Yarrowia lipolytica: one gene and its partner. The main gene of each other region encodes a partner of the protein of the gene in region 2 in a complex. Links are inferred from orthologs where the notes say so. Each region holds a gene or a part of one and is shown on either strand. Other genes may lie near its edges. The genes, in order: YALI1_F34105g and YALI1_B12847g.

The links.
Region 1: the proteins of YALI1_B12847g (region 2) and YALI1_F34105g are in contact, whole or in part, in a crystal structure (PDB 7W75), measured with the Kluyveromyces lactis proteins. The link is inferred for Yarrowia lipolytica from reciprocal best matches to the Saccharomyces cerevisiae genes BRE1 and RAD6. Residues at the interface, in XP_451665.1 of Kluyveromyces lactis: Ser17, Glu18, Pro19, Leu20, Thr21, Gln22, Val25, Ile26, Phe28, Gln29, Ala32, Leu33, Arg35, Cys36; in XP_452450.1 of Kluyveromyces lactis: Met16, Lys17, Glu18, Ser20, Met39, Ile41, Asp50, Thr52, Ser148, Trp149, Asp152, Met153, Glu154, Met156, Ala157.

What each region holds. Positions count from the first base shown.
Region 1 is NC_090775.1:3,408,552-3,411,630, reverse strand, and holds YALI1_F34105g (uncharacterized protein), read right to left. Parts: upstream 1,101-3,079; coding exon 645-1,100; downstream 1-644. Other genes in the region: YALI1_F34095g (uncharacterized protein), read right to left, coding at 1,513-1,688, 1,823-2,108; YALI1_F34083g (uncharacterized protein), read right to left, coding at 2,380-3,079. UniProt on the Saccharomyces cerevisiae protein: E2 ubiquitin-conjugating enzyme that accepts ubiquitin from the ubiquitin-activating enzyme E1 and transfers it to a E3 ubiquitin-protein ligase.
Region 2 is NC_090771.1:1,281,879-1,286,673, forward strand, and holds YALI1_B12847g (uncharacterized protein), read right to left. Parts: upstream 2,858-4,795; coding exon 755-2,857; downstream 1-754. UniProt on the Saccharomyces cerevisiae protein: E3 ubiquitin-protein ligase that mediates monoubiquitination of histone H2B to form H2BK123ub1 in association with the E2 enzyme RAD6/UBC2.

The DNA of each region.
Region 1 (3,079 bases), on a different chromosome or scaffold from region 2:
CAGTGAGACAAGCATCCAACTACAGTTACCAGTAGCTATTGTACTTGCAGCTAACAGATGTTTAACTGAGGTAAAAATATATATCCCTCGTACCCCATTCAGTTTTCCAAAGGATAGAACATGCGCAGGAACTGCGGAACCATGTTGACCAAAATACCGCTTTCAATATAGCCACACGCGGCCCCCTTTCATTGTACAAGTAGTTTAATCCATTTAGCATCTCCGACGGGCTATAAGTCAGATGTATGAGGTGAAGTAGCGATGAGTATGTACTTGTACGGTACTGGTAGTTTGATAAGCTTCGTATTCAGCGGAATTACTGACGTTAATGACATGTCGGATTTACTACACCGGTCAAACGAAAAACAGCGACTTAGAATATCTCCTGATCCAGGTGGTTCACGTAAGCACGGTACTCTTCTTACAGCCTATTCCGGAAGGTTTGATTAGATATATGAACTGGTCTAGAACCAAACATCCCCATCAACGTCCATTGTCTAGTGGCTCAAACTGCATGATGGTGGCAGACGCCCTAATCTCTTCCTCATCTTTTCCTCCTCTTAATGCAACCGATGCGTGTCCCGCTAACGGGCCCCTCCCTCGTTCCCAGTAAAATGGTATCTCTAGTTCGTCTCTTATCCGCTCTAGTCGGTCCAGCTGGCCTCCACTGTGTCCCGCACCCGTTTTTCGTACTGCTGACGGTGATCCTTGTACAGCATAGACGCCTCCACGTTGGCAGGACTGGACGTATTGGGGTCGTTCAGCAGCGACTGCACCGAGGTCAGAATCGCTGCCACGTCATAGGTGGGCGACCATCGGTTTTGCAGAATGTCCAGACATAGCTCGCCAGATGAGTAGACGTTGGGGTGGAACATCTGCGAAACAAACTTGACGGCTGGCGGTTTGTTGGGGTACTGCTCGTCAAACTGCAGCACCATGCGGAAAGTGCCATCTTCAAACGGGGTCTCCGCCGGTCCGATGATCACGGCGTTCCATGTCAGCACGTTATCAGCCACAGGAGATGCACTGACTCCCTGGGGAGGATCCTGTTGCATGCGCTTGAAGTCTCGCATGAGACGTCTTCGAGCTGTAGTGGACATGGCTGTGGCTTGGTTTTTATTTTCTTTCTTCGGTTACCTGTCGTTACTTAACCGTGTGCGGCGTGGGGTGACGTGTGTTGTTGTTTGGTTGTTTCAGGTGGTGATGTAATGAGTTGTATGGCGCGCGCCAGTCTGGCTATCCAGACTTTGCATGTTGGGAAGAAGACAACCACTTTTATATAACGGAGTTAGGGTTGCAGAGAGGATGACAAATGTGGGTGGCGTAAAAGCCGGAATCACGGATGCCTTATATGCAATAGGGCAGGAGCCACCATACCCAGTATGTTACGGTGGCGATTTTTTGCGGGCTGTGCAACGTGTCACGTGACCAAGAAGTCTTCGATATGTACTAGTGCAACAGCAGTTCGGGCAACAAGCTAAAAACGAAAACAAGACTTCGGCTATATACAGACTATTTTTTGGAGGCAGAGTCGCTCTCCTCGGAGAACTCAATGTACTGGTTGGCGGCAGTGTAGAATGCGAATCCGACAGCCATCCACAAGATGGATCGGGTAAGCAATCGCATGCCCCGATCAGGATCCTGGTTAGGCTCTCGCGGTCCCCAGGGTCCAAAGTAGATGTAGTAAGCTGGGTTAGTTTATGGGCTCGTTTGTGGAATAATCAACCGGGGTAACGGTTGGGGCCCGCTCCGGGTTTGTGTCTCCTAGTATCTCACTCCTATACTCATACCCTTAGTGTCTGTTCTCCCCTTCCATACTCACCAGCTTGCTTCTCCTCAGGAGTCATAATCTTCCAGTCTCCACGCATCTGATCCTCCAGGTAATCGACGACATCCTGCTGCTCGTCGGTGGCCATCTTGGGCCATCGTTTGGGAATGTTCAAAGTGGAGGGCTTGATGGGGTTCTTGACCTTGTAGTTGTTGCCGCCAATGTGGAAAAAACCGTCATCGTAGGGGTCATCGTTGCCAAAGGCAGTCTGAAGGGGCGACTCTCGCTTCTTGAGCACCCGCTGAGACGTGCAGAAAAGACGCCGTGATTGTCTGAGCATTGTGTCCTGGTGTCGAGTTGATCTCGTGGAGATCTGCGAAGTATTGGGTAGGGTTAGGGTAATTGAGGAGGTGTAATGTTGGCGGTAGTGAGAGTGAGTAAAGCTGTGGGATTCTCAGATAGATATACGCTCGCGTTGTTTATTATCATTTCCCAGTTCGACACATACTATAATATTCTCCTACCACTGTACATTGTTGTCTACTCTACCTCCTCCGTAGCCTGTTCGGCCCTTCACCTACTGTAAATCTATCAATGTATAAATTATTTGCTTATTCGTCGCTCATAGGAACATCGTCCTTGCCTTCCGAATTCGTTTCCTTCTTGGGAGTCTCCTCTTTAGTCTCATTATCCTCTCCAGTTCTGGGGGAATCCTTCACAAGTTGAGGAACTTCATCAGTCTCTCCACCCTCATTGGATTCTCCCCCCTCACCATCTTTTCTCTTGGCACGCTTTCGTCGCACCTTTTTGACTGACTGGGAATCATCTTCCTTCTCCTCAGGTCGCTCTCGCTTACCCTGATCCTCCTTAGATACCTTCTTCTTCTTGACTGACAGAGGGTTAGGCGCCTTTGGACCCTTTCGCTTCTTGGCCTGCTCTTCATCTCCCTCAGGTGCCTTTCGCTTTACGGCATTGAGACCGGATGTGAGCTTGGACGCCTCAATCAGCTGACGAGCACGCTCAGAAGCAGGGGAAAAGGGCTCCAGCAGCATGATGGCTCGGTTCATATGAATGAGAGGGACTCCAGGAATGGACCGAAGTCGACCTCGCAAACTAGGATCTTGTGTAGCAACAACGTATCTGTGGACATTGGAGCCGTCGACAACAACCGATTTGTAAATGGCCTCGCTGGGATGCATCTTCCGGGCAGCGTTGGAACCATTGTACTTCAGCTTTTTCTCCTGGGTCTCAGTGCTATTTTCGAAATGCAGGGTTCGTCGACGCTCAAAGGTCTTGCCTAGCTGAATGGCC
Region 2 (4,795 bases):
ACTTGTAACACCTCAAATCAGTATACATTTGATATTTGTTTTTCTCTCTGGCCTTCCCCGCATCGAAAACTACCGTAGTGGTACCCTCCTAGGTAGACTAGACTAGTGGCTAGTGTCTAACTGATTACTGGGCTTCGCTGTACTCAACGGAGTATGACATAGCGAGGTGGAGATTCTAGAATGACAATAGAAAGGGTTTTTGAACTTGTGCTGTTGACAGCAATAAATATGAGCTAGTTATCGCAACTATTCAGTGCAAGGTAGTAGAAATACTTCCTACTCTACAAATACTACGCACCAGGAACGAACTACAAGTACAACCATTACATATTCTAGATCTTCAAAGGAAGTGTATGACAAGTATCTAGAGCCCCTTTGTTACTTCCTCGTCAAACACTCTCAGGGTTTCTTACGAAAAAACGTCGGGCAAAACAAGCCAACATATCAGCATGTACAGTATGTTCATACAAATACAGGTACAGTTTTCGAAACAAGCCATTTCAACCCATTACCCCTGTCTAATATATGTCTATCACGTGATTCTACTGACATTAGACGAGTTCCAGGCGTTATGACTACGATTCTAGGGCTCTCCAAGTTCGTTGGAGATGCTAGAGATTTGAAGAGGTCGGGTGTTCGAACTACAGTGTACGTACACATCTGTACATATCCTCATATTCATTCACTCATATTTACAAACCCATACATCCATATAATACACTATCCTTCCTCTATCTCCCTCACTCCTCTTGCTCTACAAATGAACGGTCAACAGATCATTTTGGGAAAAGGGCTTGTTGCAGTTGGGACACTTTCGCAACCGCGCATCCAGCCGGTCCTGTGCACACTGGTGACAAAAGACGTGTCCACAGACCTTGAGGGCAGTGTCTTTCCAGTTTTTCGAACACAGGGAACACATTGCAATAGACCGCAGCTCGTCAATTTCATCAGAAGAGCCTCCAAAAGAAGACAACTCGATCTGCTTGGTCAGTTTGGCATTATCCAGAGCCAGTTTTCGAGCTCTATGCTCTCCAACCGACAGCTTTGTGCCCTGCTGCTTCATTTCCTCCTTGAGCGTCGTCAGGTACTTTTGAGCGCCGTTCAACATGTGCGTTTTTTCGGCCACCTGGCTAGTCAGACGCTTGGCGGCTTCCTGTTGCTTTGCATGAAGAGAAACGTACTCCGATAACGTCTTCTCGAGCACGTCAATCTTGGCGCGCGTCTTGGCATCCACCTCCTGGAGCTGGTTGACTAGCTCACTAGACTTGACCATCTGCGCCTTGAGCTTGGCGTTCTCGGCACCCAGCGCGTCCTTGTGTCGCATGGCCGCAAAGTACTTTTCATCGGCCTTGGCCTTCTCTGCAAGCAACTTAGTTAACCTGCTTTCACGGTCTGCCACGTCCAAAGCCTTGTTTTCGGCCATCTTCTGCGCAGACACAAACGCAGCCTCCATTCCGGGGATCTCGGCCATTAGACTCTGATTAGTCAGCGTCAGGACCGTCACCTCCTTCTTGAGCTCTTCCAGCGACTTTCCCTCGACATTGCTGGACATGTTAACTCCTTCGTTTCCCTCTTTTCTCCACCGCTGAACCTCAGACTCCAAAGTGCCAATTCGCAGCTTGTACACCTCGCCTAATTCTTTCAGTGACTCAATCGTCTTAAGTTTGTCCGCTTCAGTGGCCTTTTTCTGGCTCAAGTCTGCCAGAATCTCGTCTCTGGCTGTTCTGATTCGCACAAGATCGGTTTCGGCCCGTGACAGCTGCGAACGGAGCTCAGACTCGCGTTTTTCAAACTCCCGCTTGATAGTCGACCGGTATTGTTGTCTGTTTTCGTCGAGGGCCATTTTTTCAGCTGAAATGGCGTCACGGGATTTTTCCAGCGCCAAAATCTGCCCTGTTTTATCGCTCAGCTGCTCCTTTGCAGCCTTAAATGCTCCAGAGTGATCCAGGAGGTCGGATTCGGACAGATCCGCCATTTTCGCATTGAACAGACTAGCCTCGTGCTCCAGAGCAGCAATTTTCGCGTCCAGTTCTTTCATTTGTTCCTCCTGGACTTGTATGGTTTCTCTCAGGGCCTTAGTATCTCCGGTATCTTTGGTATCTGGGGAATCTTCAGTTTCCTTCTTTTCCTCCATTTGTGCAGTCTTTTGGTCGCCATTCTCCTCCGCCTTCTCTTCGACATCTTCGCCCTCAATCAACTTCACGGTGGGCGACTTGTACCTATCCAGCTTCTTGGCTGCTGCTAGGTACTGGTTTTTCATGGTCTGGGCCTCATGTTCGAGATCTTGGATCTTCCGGACCAGCAGATGACGCTGCTCGGCCATATCCGTGTATCCCGCACTGAGACGCGACACTTCCGTCTTGTCCTGCTTGGAGATCTTGTCCCCAATGAGATCAAGAAGGGTGGAGAAGTGACTCGAGATAGAGGCACTTTTTTCCTCCAGCTCCAGGTCCGTAGCCAATCCGGTAGGTCCAGGTGCAACCTCCACTTCGTCTTCATCACCGGCGTCTCTCTCTGTGTCTTCCTCCTTCTTCACATCTTCAGTCTTGACCTTTGATTTCTCAAACTCATATTTGCCCACCACCAAGGCCAACCGATCGGCTACCTTGTCCCACCACGTGCCCAGGCGAACGACGCGCTCCTCCAGCTCCCGCTCCTTTTCGCCTTGCGTCTCCAGCTGCTTTTCCAGAGTCTCTTTTTCACGTCGATAGGTTTCCATGGCCCGGAAAATGGCCTCTTTCTGGAACTCGGCCACGTCTTCCAGCGACACCGGGCGAGCCGCAACACGGGCCCGCTTGCTGTCGCCGCCGGAAGAAGCGCCCAAACTTGCGCTTTCAGCGTTGCGTTTGTCCTCCATTGTTCAATAGACTGCAAAAGTTGATAGTGTGACGACAGGAAGTGATGAAGGTTTGAACCCGAGGGCGTAGGGTTAGGGGATATTTGGTGCTGGTTGGTGGTGATGAGCACAGTGTCTGTGGCAAAGAGGGATTATATATATATGGTGAATGTGGGGCAGATCATGTCTAGTGTCGTATTGTAGATAATTATACGGGTGTGCTCAGAATTAGGTCTTGCGTGGAGGTTGTAAAAAGCAGCTACAGGTGACTATGAGTACTAGTTATTGATGACTAATGAAAATGAAGTAGATTTGACTGAGTGAATCTGTAGAGAATCTGTTGAAGAGTCTGTTTATTGCACTTTTATTCGTTTCTCGTGACTCTCAAGTATCTAATGATAAAGAGGCAATCGTTGTATGCTTCAGGGCTCTCTGTCAAAGACATGGTTTCGGTGTGGATTCTATAGCTGGGGAACTGAGTTGTTCTCTAAGTGCAAGTACCTTCAACCACCTGCTACTTTTGGCAGTTTTGTTCTTATCATGAAACCAGTATGTCCATGTTCTAACACTCCACAGTGTGTTACGTAAGTATAGGAAGAGTACCAGTGTAATGCCGTGCTCTATACTCGAATGGCTTCTACTGCGGCTTCATCTGCCGTCTGAACTAGTATACAATCTTTCCAATTCATTCAACTACCCCATTATCTCAAGTTTCAGACTGATAACAGTTGGCAGTACAGTAGATGATTTGAAAGACATCTATAGACGACTTCTCATCAAGTACCCTCAATCAAGAAATGAAGATCAAGGTAACATCAAGAGCTTCTCCTTCCATACGACCCAGTTATCTCCCCATTTGGTTCGAACTCCAGATATACCACACCTACCACAAAAGTGCTCCATGAATCACCATGAGCCCATTAACCACCACTCACACAACCACCACAATTAACCACTCACACCTTGTTCAATCCTCTCAATCCAACTTGTCATATGCTTCACACCATTAGTCTAAGAGTATATATACACATCCTGGAAGGTACGGTACGGGAACATACCATACTGTACAAGCGAGTACAAGTAACACCCTCCTTATCTATCCCACGTCCCGTCAACATGACAAACACAAACAGCCTCATTTATATATACACAGCGATCGATTCTAGTTTGTGTTTTTCCCACCCAGTTTCCCACCCAGTTTCCCGCTTTACTCCAAGTACAGTAGCTCCGAGTCGGCCCTACATTCGAGTCCCACTCTCACCAAGTTGCTCTTTTGCCGCTCAAGTTACCCTGTCTTTACCCTAACCCTAAAGTGCTTCCCCTCGCATATCCCTTTGCTGACACAATTGCGACGGCGGCCCTAACCGAAATCAGCACCGACCTTTTTCTGTTTTTTTTGGAAAATAAGTCACGTGGAAATACCCCGGGGGCGAGGATCTTGCGTAGGTCACGTGATGCATATATCCCATCCCGTGTCACGTGACCTCTCGTTCGTTTTTCACGTGACCAGGGACACAAAAAAAAAGAATAAAAAACAAACATTCGTTGAGCCCACGCGACCGGGCTGGCCTGCCATTTGGGGGCTAGGGTTGCGCCCAGAAAAGTGGCCCATTCCATTTAGGCAGGGTTAGGGCTGCGTCTGTCTGTTTTGGGCTGGCTGGGTGGCTGGAAGGATAGTGTTGCATGGAAAGAAATGGAGAAGGATTTTTTGACATTGTTGGGGGCGGAAAAATCCCGGAAAAAATCGGAAAAAATTGGATGAAATTTGGATAATTCTTTTTAAAGTCTTTTTGTTCCAATGACACGTCCATATTCTCTATAACGCCTTTTTTCGTCGGTTTTAATGGCATACTCTATGTTCTGTCGATGCGTCAAAACCTATTCGGCATTTTCCTTTTGTGGTTTTTTTTTCCACCAAAAAAGTATAACGCGAAACTAATATATATCCCTGTCTTTCCT